Linked DNA regions of Alligator mississippiensis. The protein of the gene in region 1 purifies or fractionates together with the protein of each later gene. This does not show direct contact. Links are inferred from orthologs where the notes say so. Each region holds a gene or a part of one and is shown on either strand. Other genes may lie near its edges.

What was found.
Region 2: the proteins of ABCA1 (region 1) and NR1H2 purify together in Homo sapiens (affinity purification with western blotting; 3 studies listed by BioGRID and IntAct, with this or other methods). This does not show direct contact. The link is inferred for Alligator mississippiensis from reciprocal best matches to the Homo sapiens genes ABCA1 and NR1H2.

What each region holds. Positions count from the first base shown.
Region 1 is NC_081826.1:157,970,322-157,979,205, forward strand, and holds the start of ABCA1 (phospholipid-transporting ATPase ABCA1), read right to left. Parts: upstream 4,139-8,884; 5' UTR 3,965-4,138; intron 1-3,964. UniProt on the Homo sapiens protein: Catalyzes the translocation of specific phospholipids from the cytoplasmic to the extracellular/lumenal leaflet of membrane coupled to the hydrolysis of ATP.
Region 2 is NC_081828.1:40,181,659-40,190,064, reverse strand, and holds the start of NR1H2 (oxysterols receptor LXR-beta), read right to left. Parts: upstream 3,506-8,406; 5' UTR 3,421-3,505; intron 2,659-3,420; 5' UTR 2,536-2,658; intron 2,395-2,535; 5' UTR 2,354-2,394; coding exon 2,323-2,353; intron 2,003-2,322; coding exon 1,856-2,002; intron 1,272-1,855; coding exon 1,002-1,271; intron 299-1,001; coding exon 66-298; intron 1-65. Other genes in the region: ACP4 (testicular acid phosphatase), read left to right, coding at 6,232-6,318, 6,629-6,724, 6,807-6,893, 7,084-7,230, 7,690-7,956, 8,234-8,366. UniProt on the Homo sapiens protein: Nuclear receptor that exhibits a ligand-dependent transcriptional activation activity. Binds preferentially to double-stranded oligonucleotide direct repeats having the consensus half-site sequence 5'-AGGTCA-3' and 4-nt spacing (DR-4).

The DNA.
Region 1 (8,884 bases):
AGGCAAGGACGTTTTTATCCAATGACAAATGTTCCAAAAAAAAACTGTATTTTAGCCTTTTCCTTTTTATTAAAAGAAAAATCTATGCTTAATCTATACTCCAATCAACACCTTGAACCTAGCAACATGAATATTCTTTCACCACTTAACATTTTCATAGGACTTACTGTGCAGTGAAGAAAATTTTATTGAGGTTGAGAAACATGGCTCAAGTCAGATACATGATTTTTACATGAAATGTTGTGGCTCATCTCTCCTATTTTTGCAGTCTCTCTAAGAATCTCCTGAGTATACCTGTAATGCATGTTATAACACTCAGCATTACAAATGGGTTATTGTTAGGTACCTAACACACAGAGAATATATGCTCGAGCCAAATTCTCAGCGGATGTAAATTGGCAGCATTCTTTTGACATTGACAGAACTCTAGCAATTTATACCCAGGGAAAATCAGACACCCTCCCCCCCAATCTTCCCCAGTTAGACCAAGATAAGAAAGGGAATTTGTTATTAAAGTAAAACACCCGAGCTGGATTCTGCCGCCACTCACATCAGAGTTCCAGAACAATGCTCCCAATACCCTGGCATGTGAGCCAATACACACCCTACAGGCACCTTTCTTCTTCCCAAGCAAGATTCACACCCTGTTCAACACTTCAGTCTCATGCAGCCATTTGACGTTCTTTACAGCATGAACAAAGTTACCCATCTGGTAACTGAACCTATCATAACACAATGAGAAGAGATAAAACTAGACCTTTTCTGATCCCTCCCTAGAACAAAAATCTTGCTATCAGTCACAGCCAGATGAGCTCCCTGATGTCTGCAGCATCACACACACAGCAGAGGGGAGATGCACCTTTGAAATCACTTCCGTTCTTACAATTCACTCAAGATCAAACCTTGCACTCATGATTAGAGTATTCTCAGTCAATCTAAAGTAACTTTGAAATCAACACAGCCTCTTCAGACTTGCACTGGAGTAAATGAGAACAAACCCTGGGCATTACTTCTTATTCTGTAAACCCTTCTGCAAAAGGATTAATGGGAATTTTGCCTTGTCGAGACTGCAGAATTGTCTGTTGAGTCTTTGTGGAGTTTTGTCTCACGCACATGCACCTAGGATCTGCTTCTTGGTTGAGGGAGCAGGATAGGTTAAGCGAGGCAAAGTTCAATTAAAGAACTATTGGAAAGTTGAAATAACCTGGAAAACATACAAGGTGAGATCTGTTTCTATCGAGGCCCTCATATAAATGAGGATCAGGACAGTAGCACTGAGGCAATGATTTGCGCCACTAGAAACTCATCCTTAGCAGTGGTTTCTGTAGTAGTGCAAACAAGCGTTTAGATACTTTTTCCAAGACACCCAATTTTATCAGGTAGCTAAAGAGTTGTTTTCTAAAGTGAAGAAGTCATTATTTAATATTTCATTATTTAACATCAAGTCCTATCTGAAAACTTTGCAAGGTACAAATGGGGCTACTTTGCATTTACAGAAAATCGGAGATCTCTCAAATACAACTGTGATCCAGGGTGTTAATTTCATATGTAGGACACAAACAGTGCAAATAAAAAAAGAGAAACATTTAATTCTTAAGAAGCACTGTAGGATCTATGGCCACCAGATATGGAAACATAACTGGATTAATCTCAGAACAACACAGGGCAAGCACCAGTTTGTTCCCCGTCACAGACATGCTAATAGGAGTATGCCCAACACTGCTTCCTCGCATCATTTGGGGACTCAGAAAATGCTGAGGGGGTACAACACTCTTACTACAGCACTCCATATCACAGCCTGTAGGTAGTAAGTAGAGACATGCCCAGAATGATCTATCATTGGATCTCCTGTGTCCCACCAAGAGATTTCACCCAGCAAAACCTGCTTCACACCCAAAAAATTGCTGGCTGAAACCAAGCACACCTTGCAGAGACAGACAAATAGTCTCATGTAAAGACTCCAAGTGGCTAGGAATACACAGCATCCCTTAGTTAGCTGCTCCAATGTTAAATATCCTGAAGGCTCAGGACAAGCGTAGCGCCTTCTTAACCTGGCAGGGAGAGTACCATGTATGTGTGCCCAAAAAGGCAGTTTTCCTGAACTGCTCTTCTGGCATGGTTCAGGACCCGCTGAGGTGCAATGGCTTTCAGCCCAGTTTATGGAAATGGCAGTCTCCTCCCTGCTTGCTCCAAGGGCCTTATGGCTAAGGGCAAGCAAAACTCAGGGGCATCCAAACCAATGCCCGCCAAAGGTTTTGGAAACATCTGAAGTCCCAGGTGCAGGTGGAGGATGTTTGCTGGTAGCACGGCCACTTATGGTGGCCACTTTGGCCAAATTAGCCAAAACTAATTCTAAATCCAAGTGTCTAGAACCGTAAGTGGCTCTACTGGCAAACACCCTCACCATTAAAACTGCTGCAGAGCAAACAAAATTTTGGTCTAAAGATGCAAAAAAGCTAGATTTCCTTCCGCATAGAGCCCACTGAAGCAGCACTGTTTATGGGATAAAGTGCCACTTGGTGCAAGTAACGGCACCAGGGCTTGGCTCTTTATAGTCAGGAGCAAAGCGGGCAGAGTTTGTGTAGCTGCCGTTACATGTCATTCCAATAATGTGGTAGACAAAGTCCCTAACAGTAGGCAATAATAATCCTTGTGGGATCTCATCATATAATCGCTGGTCATATTTAATTTTAAAAAAGGCAAAATAGGCAGTAAGAGTCAAGTACTTGCAATATTTGGATTCAATTTCTCCTTTTTTATCCCCACTGCCCCCATACAAAAATTGAATTTGCACTGGGGTCAGTCAGTTATGCTGTTACAGAGCTTGCACTGCTCTTTTCAGTATTTGGATGCGTTAACATGGCCAGATGTTTGAGAAAGCTCAGTTCCCATATCAGCCCAACGCAGCAAAGTGCATAAGCAGATGCTTCAGTCCCGCCTTCAGCGCAGTTACAGATACCAATTCACACCAACTGAAGATCCACCCAAAATAAACTATATACAAGCATCTAGGAGGGTGGTTCTTTGCAGGGAAAACTATTCTCAGTCTAAGATACTTAAAAGAAACTAAGCCCAAAGTTTAGGAAAGTTCATTTATAGGACTAAACTAAACATAAAGGAAGATGGATATCTGCGTGAAAACTTTGAAAGATATTTTTTTGTTTTGTGGAGGGACAAATATTAGAGTTTAGGATGCGCTCCTGTATCCTTTTTCTTTTGTCCCCCTTAAATATTTTTAGATATCCCATGACACTCAACCAAAACAAAACAGGAGCGCTCATAATAGGCTAATGACAGGTTGCAAGGCAGCTCTATAATAGGCTGCAATGTAAAAACAAGATATACTGGGTGTTAAAGCCACAGCAAGGATGCGAAGGATCACAATCCTACGTGCCTGTGGACCTGGAGACCAGACCCTGGCCCATTGGGTGCCGGCATCCCTCAAAGAAGGATGAAACACGGGGAGAGCCAAGTCTATCTTGCCCATGGATACACTGAGGCGAAAAATTCATAAAGAGAAAATAGAAGGGGGGGGGGCACAAACAAGCAAACAAAAACTCTTCTTCCCCTTCCCCACAAGAGTTTCCTTTATTCTGTGAAAACATCCTTGCGGGGACCGCTCCCGACTTAGCAGCAAGGGGAAGGGAAATGAGGATAGGGCCTCCAGCTACTCAAACCCCATCTGTGTTCCCCTCTCCCGTCACAAACCCGGCTCCTCGGGCTCGCTGCTGTTTCCCGCGGAGGCGCCGCTCGCGGCCGGGGTTACTCTCGGGCAGCGCCGCCGCCCCGCGCAACAGCCCCGGCTGGAGGCGCCTGGAGGGGCAGCACCCGGCACACCCCCACCCCGCCGGCACCCCGCAGCAACAAGCCTCCTCTCTGCTTTGTTCGGGGGGCTTTAAGAGAGGAGAAACTATGTCCCCCGAGAAGGGGGCGAGGCGAGCCGTGGGGAGAGGGGCAGCCCTACCTGCGCGCTCCGTGCCGGCGGACTCCCCGCTGCCCAGCCCAGGTCCCGCGTGCCCCGGCCGCAACGTTTGCTGCTGCTCCGCGCCGGACCCCAGCTGCCTTTATTGCCTCGCAGGGAGGTTATTGCCGGTCAAGCCCGGCTGCCTCCCGCGCTGTTTATACGGAGCCGTCACTCAGGCGGAGCACGTGGAGCCGCGCCGCCCTCTTAAACGGGCCGGGGCACGCACGCGAGCGGGGCCGCCTCTCCCGGGGCCACCCCTACCAGGCAGCGCCGGGCTCCCCTGAGCGGCTAGTCCGCCAAGCGGGCCACGCGGCCCCTCCCCCATACAAGGGTAGACGCAGAGGTTGCAGAGCGAAACGCAGCAGTTGTGCCAGATGTTTCCTAGCTTCGCTGGATGAAACACGCCTTGCCTATTGTCTCGAGAGTGCGAGACTGTGTGCATCACGTTTTCCCCCGGCTTGGATCGCCCCCACTGGCCCCTGCTCGAGCGCCTCCGCCCGGGTCTCGGGATCTGCTGGCAGGATGAGGTCGCCAGCGCAGAGCGTTGGTGATGCGCAAGGGGTGCACGCGGGTGCACGTACCCTAGCTGAGATTGGCAGTGCGCCCCCTGCGAAAAGGCGCCGCCGACAGTGTTGGCCTGCAGGCGGTTGCCACTCGCCACCCACCCCCTTTGCCACCGACACCGCCGGGAGTATCTGCAGGCGGTCCATGATCACCACTGGCTGCCACCGACACTGCCGGCTGTGTCTGTGGGTGGTTGCTGACTGCCACCCCCTCCCCACTGCCGATGACAGTGCTACAGCTGCCTGCACCAGCTCCCCATTTGCCTCTGCCACGCTCCTGCTGCTGACACCACTGCCTGCAGGAGCTCACCATGCCCCACTAGCCCCCGGGGGCATATGGTGCTCATGACACAGAGGTGCTACAAAGCCCATGCCACCAGCATCCAGGCTGTTCTCCTGCACACTCGGTTGCGGTGGGCAGGCCACGTGGCCCGGATGGATGACAACCACCTACCAAAGGCCATGCTGTACAGGGAACTGACAACCGGGAAATGTGACACCCTGAAAAGGTCCTTTCCTGCCTGCAGTGTTGACTACAAACTATGGAAAACACAAGCTGCAGATCATGATGCCTGGGGGCTTCAAAACAAAAAGGCAATAGCCCTCTTTGAATGACAGGGCAGAACTAGCATCAAGGAGAAGAGAAGGAGGAGGAAAGATACACCCTCATCTAGCGGCAACCAGCTATAGCCATGTGACCGTTGCAGCAGGATTTGCCTCTCTGCAATTGAACTAGTTAGTCACCAGCAGGCCTACAACTGGCGTGGGCAGTTACCTTCCTAAAACCTTCATCTGCAAAGAACTGCCAAGAGGGGCCTAGTTCTGCACACCCTGACAATATCTATGAATCTATGAACTCCTGCACAGGACCAGGCACCCTCAAGCCCTAGGAGCACTTGCCCGGCCCCTCCTGCTTACTGAGACACAAACCCAGGATCTCTGGCATGTCCCCAGCAAGAGGGGAGAGTCAGAGTTTCCCCCTTACAGAGGCACGTCCCAGAAATCCTAAGATTAGTTAGCCTGGAGAAGACTGAGGGGGAATTTGCCAAGAATCTTCAAATACAAAAAGCTATTAAAAGGCTGGTGATCAACTGTTTTGTGCATCCGTGAGGGGACAGGAGAAGACATACTCTTAAATTGCATAAAGGAAGATTTAGGTTAGACCACCAGTTCTCAAACTCTGACAGATTGTATTTTTTTAAATTGGTGGTGCACAACCTTAAGTACCACCAGCAAGTGTTTCAGTTCAAACTGAAGTACCACTAGCAAATTCTTGTTATGTAAAGTAATTAAAATAAATCTGTTAATGTGTACCACTGACAAGCTGTCTGCATACCACTGGTGGTACCCATACCACAGATTGGGAACCGCTGGGTTAGACGTTAAGAAGAACTTTCTGAATTCCATTAGCTTTCCTGGATCATAATATTAACTGAGAATATTCAGACAACAGACATGTTATAGGATCGGAAAATATGACTGTTTTCTCTCGTTTACGATGATACAAAATTAATACCAAAATGTGTTTATTAAGCATTTGTTATGTTCCTATTTAAAATGTTTTGAAGGCTTCCCCACCCACGTCAGCACTGGTGTAGTTAAACTGATGCATGCAGAAGCACTAACCATTTATTTTTTGTTTGAATGATTTATTTTGTTTTTACTTCACCCTGTTCCTCCTAACCAATGTAAAGTAACTCCAAATAATGCCATGTCTTCACTGCAGTGTAACCTCAGATTGGCAATTGAGTTAGGCAGAAGGCAGGGCAGAGCTGCACTAACTATACCAGAGATGCATAACATAGCCTTTTGTGAGCCCAAGCTCACTTCCTCAGCTACTGTGAAGCAACATGCACAGGGCTGGTCTCTGTGCATGGTCTTTTGATTTACAGCATCTGATGAAGTGAGTTTGAGCTCACAAAAGCTTATGCTACGCATCTCTGATTTAGTCTACAAGATGCAAATCTACCTTGCCTTCTGCCTGACTTCAGACTAACAGAGCTAACTACCTGTCTAATTATGAGTTATTCATTTTCCATCAGCATAGAGATATGTGACTAGGCTGCTGAACAGCAGTTAAGTACCATCTATATGCCTGCTACCCTATTTCACATCCACACCAGCATGCAGCCAGCATGAGAGATGATAGGTTATATCTGTACCACCACTCGGGGTTTGCACTCGGGCAAACCCGAGACTGTGGCCCTGCCCACTCACTCCTGCTCCATAAATGCTCCTTGCCTGGAAATGCAGTGTCAGTGCTTTTTGGTAAGGGATCTTAGCCCAGTGCCTGCCCTTGAGAACTCTTGCAGTGCATCTGAAGTGGAGTGAATAGAGATATACACCCAGACTTAGGTGCATCTTGCCTGAGGCTCCATTTGCTCTCACAAGGTACTGTGAGACAATCCGTTTTCTTTCTTCTGGGGATGAGAGAGAGAAATGGTCTAGGCCTAGGAATTCATTACCTGGAAGGATCAAAACCAGTGTGCTATTGTTTCCATTTGCTCAAAGCCTAGACTAAACTGAAGATAGTGTCCACACAACCCTCTATATTGATTAAAGCAACATTTTATATCATACCTTAAATTAAACCTGTGCCACAAGGCTGTGGATAGGGCCTCAGTCGTCTAATTATGGAGTAGAAACAATTCTGGAAATTAAATCATGGCCTTACAAAAATCAATGCCATTGACTGGCATTGTGGCCTGGCTTTCACTCCATAGTTTTTACTGTAAGTAGGAAGCAATGAACAGTGTAATGTAATAGTTTCCCAATAACCTATAGAATGCAAATTTGTTATCTGAACAATTTGCTAATACTGGTGACTTGGTCACACATTTGGAAAGAAGCTGACATCAACCCATAAATTTAAAAAAAGGCTTAGGTCACATTTTAAATGATTTGCATTACATCATTTGACCAGCTAGAGTTGCAAGAAACATGACCAATAATTTTCCAACTCCCTAAAAGCAAGGCTTTATTTTCACAATTTGTGATTTAATTGTATTATAGTTGTCATACCTCCATTTGTACCCCAGGTAAAAATCTGCCTCAAGAAGTGTATTGCTCTTCAGATTTCCCCTTCCCAGTGTCTAGTGGCATATCACTTTTAGAACCAGGAGCACAGAGTCCTTGGAATACATTGTATGAATGAGTCACTATGAATTTTTTAATGCATGAAAAGGCTGAAAACATTTAATCTACAAAAGACAGGTAATTCTAAATTATGGCTCCCTTTCCAAACATAATACAGCTCCATTGCTCATGTGTAGTAAAATCTACATTATTGGGTAGGCTGCTAATGCTTTGCTTTAATGTGAGTGCAATCTGGTTGATGTATGGTTGCTGTGGAAACTGTATCTTTGAATTTTCTGTCTTATGTGTTTCAATTTTCAGCCATAAAGTTGTCTTAGCATATTTTTGCATTGTATTTTTTTGGTTCTTTAAAGAAAAAACAAGGGAAAAAGTGAGTATTCTGATCTGAATATAGATTCATGAGAGATCAGAGTGATCAGCATTGGAAATAAAGTCAGCCACATGAGACTCAAACATACCATGGAAATATTCACATAAATATTATATATTCACATGGCCAGTACATGGGCCTACATCTTGCATTCAAAACAGTGGCCTTAACCGTACCTTCAGTTATACCTGCAGAACCTCCCAGAATAAATTTTATCTGTGACATGGAACTGGTTCAAAACTGAACATTTTTTTCAGTATATATCCTCAGATCAGAGGAAAAAGGAATCATATCATCTTATGATCAATATATTAGGAATGATACAAGACAATACAGAGCATTAAAAGAAAGTTAAACAATGGGCAAAGAATTTTCAAAAGAAGGCTGCATTTACAAACTGTATAAATGGTTAGCACTGAGCATCTGGAAATAGTTAATTTGGATATGGATAGTTATCATAAATTTTGTTTTGTTTTAGAAGTACAGAACATTTAAAGTAGTCTTTTCAACCAGGTGCTTTATCTGTAAAAATAAAAAAAAACTAAAATAGATAAATAAATAAATCTAAAAAAAAATTTTTTTTTAAATCAGAACCTTCTGCTCAAAGGAGCAAATTAAGATAGTTTCATTTAGCCTGCACTGTTAAAACACTGATAGCATTATATGCACTCACAATCTACTTTATAATATTTTTAACCTTATACCGTATTTACTGATTGCATTAGAGTGGCATCTAGAAGCCCCAACATGCTGTGCGAATACAAAGTGAGAAATGGACCCTGTCTCAAAGAGCTGAAAATCCCATTAGACAGGTCTGAAAGAGGGCTGACAGGAGAAGAGGCATGGAGAAATGGAGAAAGTAGTATTTGGTCACCCTGCAAGTTAGTGGCT
Region 2 (8,406 bases), on another chromosome or scaffold:
GAGGGGGGCTTTGGTGCCCAGAGCTGGAGAGATCTGCAGTGCCCAGGGCTGCCAAGGCCACTCACCGTGACCTTGGGCTGATCACTGAAGGAGCGCTTGTTGCACTGCTGCTGAGCCGCCACCAGCTGCTGGATCATGCGCTCCTGCTGCTGTGTGAGCTGGGCAGGCTCAGGCAGCCCCAGCACAGGGTCTGGGAGCAGCGGGGGCACCCGGGGCATCTCGCCCCCCCCACACCCCTCCTGTTGCTGCTGCTGCCGGCTCAGCTTCTTCTTCCGTAGCTGCTCCTCCGACAGGACATCTGCCATGCAACGGGGTCATTGGGGTACAGGCATTGGAGGGGACCCCTGCCCCTCTCCACCCCACTTCAGCCCTCTCCAAAGCAGAACACAACACTCCCCTGCTGGTGCCCCAGGTCCCCCACCCCCTGCCCAGCCTGATCCCAGGCTCCTAGTTGCCCCCACACTGCCAGACAAGCTGGCTGCCCCACCATGCCCCCTCCCTGTACACCCTGTGACCCCCCCGCACCCCTCCCTCTCCTTGTGCCCCTGCCTCCCCACCCCATCACACACAAGCCAACCAGCTCCCACCCCCTGGCACCCTCCCTAGCCACAGCCCATGACACACACTGCCCCCCTCCCTGCCCCAGCATGTGATTCACACCACTTGCACATGCCAGCTGGACCCTTGATGCCCTACATCAGCCCTTGCTGGTCCCCCAATCCACACAGCCTGTTCCCCTGATGCCCTCATGCCTCTGATCCCCAAGTCCTCACAAGCCTTCTTGGGCCCATGGCCTGGTTTACTGCCTGCCAGGCACCAGTACCACTCCTGATGCATGATCCACCTGACTGGTGCCTGCGAACCTGTGCCCTAAGGCTGGCTTCCACTGTTCACATTGCAAGCCTGTGACCACTCTGCCCCCCGTCCCCCTCCCTATCTGGCTACCCCAGAGCTCCCCCATGTTCCCAGCCTGCCCCCAGCCCATGGCCCCAAGCACTCACACTGCTCTCGCATGCCAGCCTGGCGGCACTTGCGAAAGCGACACAGTTGGCATTTGCGGCGCATGTAGGGGTCCATGTGGCATTGGCCAGCACCACGGCAGGCATACTGTGCCCCCTTGATGACACTGCGGCGAAAGAAGCCCTTGCAGCCCTCACAGCTCAGCACATTGTAGTGGAAGCCTGAGGCTTTGTCCCTGCATACACTGCACCGCTCTGTGCCCAGCATCTTAGGCGCCGGGCCCTTGCGGTGGCGCCGCACCGGTTCCTCCCCTGCAGCCATAGGGATAGAGGAGCAAAGTGGGGCATCAGGGTCAGGCTCAGAGCACCAGGCCTTGCCTGCTGAGCCTTGCCCATTATGCCCCACTGACCCCCCAACTACTTCCCATGCCTCACTGACCCCCCCCCACTGCCCCCAACTCACTAGCCCTCGTACCCCACTGCCCCCCATTCTCCACTGTCCCCGCACTGGGCCCTCTGACACCCTTCCATTGCCCCTCCATGCCCCACTGCTCCCTATCCTCTTATGCCCCACTATCCCTATATCCCATTACTTCCCCACTGCTCCCCATGTCCCAGTGACCTGCCCATACACTGCTCCCCACTGGACCCCCCATGCCCTACTGCCCCCCCACTGGCTGCAATGATACCCCTCCACTGCTTCCATGCCCCACTGCCCCCCATCTCTTTAGCTACTCTCCTCAGTTCTCACCCATTCAGCCCCACCAGGGCCCCCTGTCCCTGCAGCCCCACTGACAGCCAGCTCCCCTGCCCTGCTGAGCCCAGCACCCACAGATGCACTCCTCACCCCTTGCTCTAGCCCCTCCCACCCCATTCACCACCCCCCAGCCCCTCACCAGTGCTCTGGGCGGTTCCTTCCCCATCGGTGCCCGGCACCTCACTGTCTGCTACAGCTCCCAACTCCAGCTGGGAGTGGGGGCCCTCGTTCTTCAACTCTGGGTCAGGGGCTCTGGTGGGGGCTGGGCTCCAAGGCTCCCTGTTCTCTGGAAAGTGGGGGGGAAGTGGGGGAGAGAGGTCAGCAGTAGTATCCCCAAAGGAGAAGCCTGTGGCTGCCCAGACACCTGGGTCTTTGGTGGAGTGCTGCAGGACTGGGGCAAAGGGAAGGGAGGCTGTGGGTCCTCAGATGCCTGGACACCAGAGGGAAGTAGCCTGGGTTCCTCTGATGGGGCTTCTGATGCCTGGGTTCTCCTGCAGGGATTATTGTGTTACTTGGGGGGGGTGGAAGGGCAGCCACTGCCCGGATGCCTGGGTTCTGTCACAGAAAGGGACCCCACACCCACACCCCAATTTGCCCGTCACTCACCCGGCAGTAGGTCAGATCCCGGTGTGGCCATGTTGGGGCGTGGTGGGCTGCCAGTGGCACCCAGTCCCAGTGCTACAGAAGGAGAGACAGAAGGATGGTCAGACAAGCAGAAACAGACCCCCCACCCCACCCCACCAGCACTCACCGCTGTCCCACAGAGCTGTGAGGGAACCACCCCCAGGCCCCCCACAACCAATATCTCCCACTTCTCACCATGTCCACCACCTCCTGGGGGCAGGCTCAGCTGGGCAGGGGCCACATGGCACTGCCCTGGGGGGCACTGGGGCAAGTTCTGGGGGATCCTTCAGGGTCTGGGCTGCTCCCAGGGGAATAACTCTGAGAAGCAAAGGGAAGTGGGGTCCTTCCTGTTTGGCAGGGAGTGCCCCCTTACCTACCACTCCCCCCCCCCGACATTCCCCAGCCCCTTCCCCTGCTTGGGGCTGCCACCCATGCCCCACCTCACTCCCTCCCAAATCCAATCCAAGCTCTAAACCCCCAGAACTCCTCCCATCCCTGATTGCCCCTCTAACTCCCTGCCCAGAGCCCCTGCTTCTGCCCCCCACACACTCCATAACCAAGTCCTGGACCCATCCTGCTGCCCACCCTTCCTCCTTTCAGACCCCTCTGCTCTCCTCACACAAACCCTACAAGCTCCTAGTCCCCCAGCCTGCCCCCCCCACCTTGCCCAGGCCCCCCAATCCCAGTCCCTCATGCCCTACCCTTACCTCCCAGCCCAGCCCCACATCACTCCCCCCATCCCAGCTCCGGACCCCCAGTGCTGCCCCTCAGCCCCAATCCCCCCCAGGCACCTGCTTCTCTGCCCCCCACACCTCATAACTGGGTCCTGGACCCTACTCTGGTCCTGTCCCTCCCCCAACCCTGCCTCTTCCTTCTCCTCCTTCCCCTCCCGACCCCCCTCTGCTATCCCCAGCCCCACAAACTCCCAGCCCCCTGTCCCGATCCCAGCCCCCTGCCTGGCTCACCCTGCACTTATCCCAGCCCCCCTGGCCTGCCCAGCCTCGCCATCCCAGGCTCCATGCCTGCCCCTACCCCCCATCCCAGCCCTCCCGGCCCCGCCCCCGATCCCAGACCCCATACCTGTCTCCTTCCAGGCGCCCCCCCCCACACACACACACACGCACACGCATTCACACGGGCCTTTCCGGGAACCCCCACATCCACGTCACTTCCAGCCCAGCCCCCCCGGATCCGGTGCAATTGGGGAGGAAGGGGGGGTGGAACCGGCTGTCCCCCCCAACCCCGTGCCCTGGGGGGTGGGGGAGCGGCGGAGGGGCTCGGGCTGCCCCACTTAGCCCCCTCCCCCCGCAGCAGAGGTTGCAACATTGTTGCTGTTGGGAGCGGAAATCTGCTTTCTACCCCCGTCACTCCTCAAAAAAATCCCTTGCCGGGTGCGACCGCCCCCCTCCCCCCAGGAGCCGCGGCGCAGAGTCGGGGTATTTTGGGGGGCAAGTCTGAGCCCGCTGGATTGAGGGGTTCCCGACATACAGCCCCTAACATTGGAAACGTGTTTCCCCTCTCAGCTCCCCGCAACATGGTCCAATCTGCTCGGAAGTCGCAGCACAGATCCCGGGATCCGGCTGAATCTTGTCTGGGGGGGGGGGGGGACGCGAGCAGTTGGAGCTCGCTGGATTGAAGGGTTCCCGAGATAGGAAACCCCCTTCCAGCCTGGGGGCGCGTTTCTCAGCTCCCTCCAGTATGGTCCGATCTGCTTGGAAATCGCCACTGGGATTCCGGGGGCTGCGGGGGTTAAGAGGGGTAAATCTGAGCACGCTGGACTTAGGGATTCCCAAAATAGGCCCCCCAATCTGGAAGGTGTTTTCCTCTTAGCTGGCCGTGGCATGGTCCGGTCTGCTTGGAAATTGCAGCAGGAACCCGGTGGGGGGGCTATGGGAAGCAAATTTGAGTTTGCTGGATTTAGTAGTTAATGAGATATAGCCCCCCCCCCCCCCCCGCATTGGAAATATATAGCCTCTCAAATGCACCGGTGCCATCCAATCCCCTTGCCCAACACTGGGCTGAATGGCGGGGCGGGGGGGAAATTTTGGGGGGTAAGCTTGAGCTTCCTACTTCGAGGGGTTCCCCAGATGCAGCCTGCCCCCGGGTTTGTAGCTTGCTCCTGCTTTCCAGCCCATAGACAGAGCCCCTGTACTGGGGAGTCACGTGGGTGGTGGGGATTCTAAGGGGCAGGTTTGAGCTCCCTATACAGGAGTCGCTGAAAGGCGCCCATCCCAAAACTGGACCCCCCCACCCCCAACAGGGGCCAGAGAGGAGAGAAGACCTGGCTGGGGCTGGGGGGAGGTCTCTGTACCAGGACAGGAAATGCTACAGGGATCTCAAAACCCAAGGCCTGCCTCATGGGGGCACCCCCACACTCATCTGCCCAGGCCCACAATGCTTCAGGGCTGGAACCCCCTAAAAAGGAAAGGCCCCTGCTCTATCCCTGTCCCCTGTGCCAGCCCATGCCCCTGCACTGGGGTTGGATCTGGGCAGGCACCTTCTAGAAGGGAAAGGCTTCTGGAAGTGGCCTCATGGCAGGGAGGGGGCTGGATTGTCCCACACTTGCCCCAGCCCAGCCCCAGCCTCTTCAGGGTCCCCAAATCCCCCACACCCCCTCACTTCCACAGCCCTGTATCCCCTGGGGTGCAGCAGGGCAGTGCCCAGACATGCAGCAACACACCTAACCCCAATTAATACAAGCCCCTGAGTGGCTCAGACACATGCACCACACACCTCAACACATCCATCCACCATTGACCCACCTGCAGTCCATGGACACACAGTGACATCCATTTTCCATGTGCGCTCCCCTGCTACACCCCAGCACCCTCCCTGACATGAGGCCACTGCTACATCCTCCATGCACCCATTCATCACATATATCAATGTGCACATGCACACACACACTTCCATCACATGCACCTCCACCATGTGCATTCACCCACCCAAACACACCCTCCACAGTATGCAAATACATATGAGGTACAAACACACATGTGCATGTCTCTGAAATATACAGGTACACACAGCATATGCACACACAACTCTCTGAAATACACAATTACAAATAGTTTGCCTGCACACCTCTGCAATGCACAAGTACACACAGCACACAATGCTCTCCAATACACAAGTGCACACAGCACACACATACGTACCTCTCTGCAATACACAAATATGCACAGCACACACACCTCTCTCAAATACACAAGTACACACACACACACCCTCTACAATATGCAGACACATACAAGACACAAACACATCTCTGCAATATACAAGCACATGTAACATGTACACATATGCCTCTCTCTGTAATAGTTACACACAATGTGCCTGCACACACGCCTCTGCAATACACAAGTATGCAGTGTGCACATACAAACCTCTCTGTGATGCACATGCACACACACATCTCTCTGCAATACAGAAGTATACATAGCACGTGTGCATACACACACCCCTCTCTGCAATACACAAGTACACACAGCACACACACACACACACACATAAAACCACTAAACACCCCCCCTGCACTACAAGGAAACATCAACATGAACATTAACCCACCACACACTGCATAGTAGATGCACACACACACACACACACATATACATGCACACACCTGCCCGCAACCACAAACACCTCTATGAGCAATGTACAGACACCCCCTTCCCCCACCACCACCTCCCTGAGCCACCTCAGCAAGTCTGTGCCCCAGACTGGTAGTTAGGAAAGTCTGCCCTAACCCCCCCCAGCTGTGGGGGGCAGGCAGTGGCACCCATGGGCAGGTGGGGGGGCATGCAGGCTGGGACAGGCCCACCCCACCTGTGGGCTGACCTCAGCAGCTTATAACCAGGCCCTGCCTGGGTGACACATCAGCCCCACACCATGGGGCTGCCTGCTGCCCTGCTCCTGCTCCTGCTGGGGTCCCAGCCCCCCACCGCCCATGCCAGGACCCTCTGCTTCGTCACACTGGTACGGCAAGGCCACAGCCCACCCAGGGCAGGCTAGTGATTGTGGGGGAGGGGGCACAGACTGAGAGCAGGACCCCTGGGTTCTATCCCAGCTTGGGGTAGGGGAGTAGGCTCTGGTGGGTGAGAGAAGGGAGGCTGGGACCAGGACAGCTGAGTTCTCTCCCAGCTCTGGAGAGGGACTGGAGGCTGGTGGGCAAGAGCAGTGGGGGCTGGAAGCCAGGGCACCTGGGTTCCCTCCCAGCTCTGGATCTTGAGGGTAGGGGGTGGTTTGTTGGAGAGGAGGGGGACACTTGGTCTTCTCTGCACACCAGCTGTATCGCCATGGCGACCGGGCCCCCATGGACACCTACCCCAGTGACCCCCACAAGGAGGGGCCCTGGCCCCAGGGCTTCCAGCAGCTCACTCAGGTGAGTGGGGGGGTCTTACTGGGGCAGGGAGAGACATGCTGCAGGTGTTGGAGGCTGCTCCTGACTCCACCTGTTGCCCCAGGTGGGGGTGGAACAGCAGCGTGAGCTGGGCCAGTTCCTGCGGCAGCGCTATGAGGCCTTCCTGAGCCCCCACTACCACCCCCAGGAGGTAACAGCCCCCCCACACACACACCAGGTTCTGATCCCTCCCTACCCCCACTGCCCTGAAGCCCCCAGGCCCACTCCAAGAAGGAACAGCCCCCTCCCTCGAGGCCCTATACCCCTCCTGACCCCTGATGTCCCCATGCTCACCCCCACCCTATGCTGACCCACCCTCACCCCACTTGCCTCTCCTGCAGATCTACGTCCGCAGCACCGACTATGACCGCACGCTGGCCAGCGCCCAGGCTAACCTAGCTGGGCTGTACCCACCTGGAGGTGCCGGGCCCCCCAACCCCGCCTGGCAGCCAGTGCCTGTCCACACTGTGCCAGCTGCACAGGACAAGGTGAGCCGGGGCTATGGGTCACCCCTTCAGGGGGCCCAGCCACTCTCTGCACCTTGCATACCCCCCTCACTGCCTCTAGCCTGAGGGCAGGACCCCTGAGCCCCATGCCTGGAAGCCCCATCACATACCTATGCCCCCACAGACCCCAATGTGCCCCCACTGCACCACCCCCACATCTTCTAATGCCCCCCTCCACATTCTCCATGCCCCTGGTCCCCAGGCTTATGAGCCCTTCAAGGGTCAGAGGTTGCGGAGCTGAGGTCTCAGCTAGGATCAGAGCTCACCCTAGGTCAAAGGGTCACCATCTCCTTCTAAGTCAGAATTAGGGGGTAATGATGAAAGGGGCCACATTTAAGGTTAGGGTCACATTCTCCTTTAGGTGGAGGTCATCCCACCTACACTTGGGGTTGAGGAGTCATGGTCAGGGTGTTGCTAACTCCATCCTGCCTCCCTACCTAGCTCCTGCGCTTCCCACTGCGGCCTTGCCCACGCTACCAGCAGCTGATGGAGGAGACCACCCATCTGCCACAGCATCAGGCCCGCATGCATGCCTGGAAGGTGCTTGGGGGGACTTCCCCATCATCACCTCAGCCAGGCCTGGCACCCCCTTACGCATCCCCATCTCCACAGGGGTTTCTGGAGGACATTGCCAACCTGACAGGGCTGGGACTGGAATGGGCAACACCGCGCGGCATCTGGAAGGTCTATGATGCTCTCCGTTGCCAGGTAGGTGGGGCACCAAGCCTACCTGCCCCCTAAACCCTGAATGCCACGCCCCCCTCAGGGAACATGGCTGTACTCCCAAGGGCAGGATCCCCAATCCCCTCACCTGGCCCCTGAAAACCACATCCTACACCCATATCTCCTACAAGCCCCAGTATGCCTGCACTGCCCCACCTCCACTCTTTTTGGTAACCCCCACCCACAGAGCTACTCCATGACAACCCCTGGCCAAGCCCCTAGACCCATCCCAGGCTCACACCCTATCTCCACTGCCCCACAGCAGATCCATGGCCTGCAGCTGCCAGCCTGGGCCACACCGCATGTCCTGACCACGCTGGGTGAGATCGTCGCCTTCAACACTCTGGCGCATGTGGGGCTGCACCAGGTTGCTGAGAAGGCCCGGCTCACAGGAGGTGGGTGTTGCAATGCTGGGGGGGGGGACGGACCACCAGA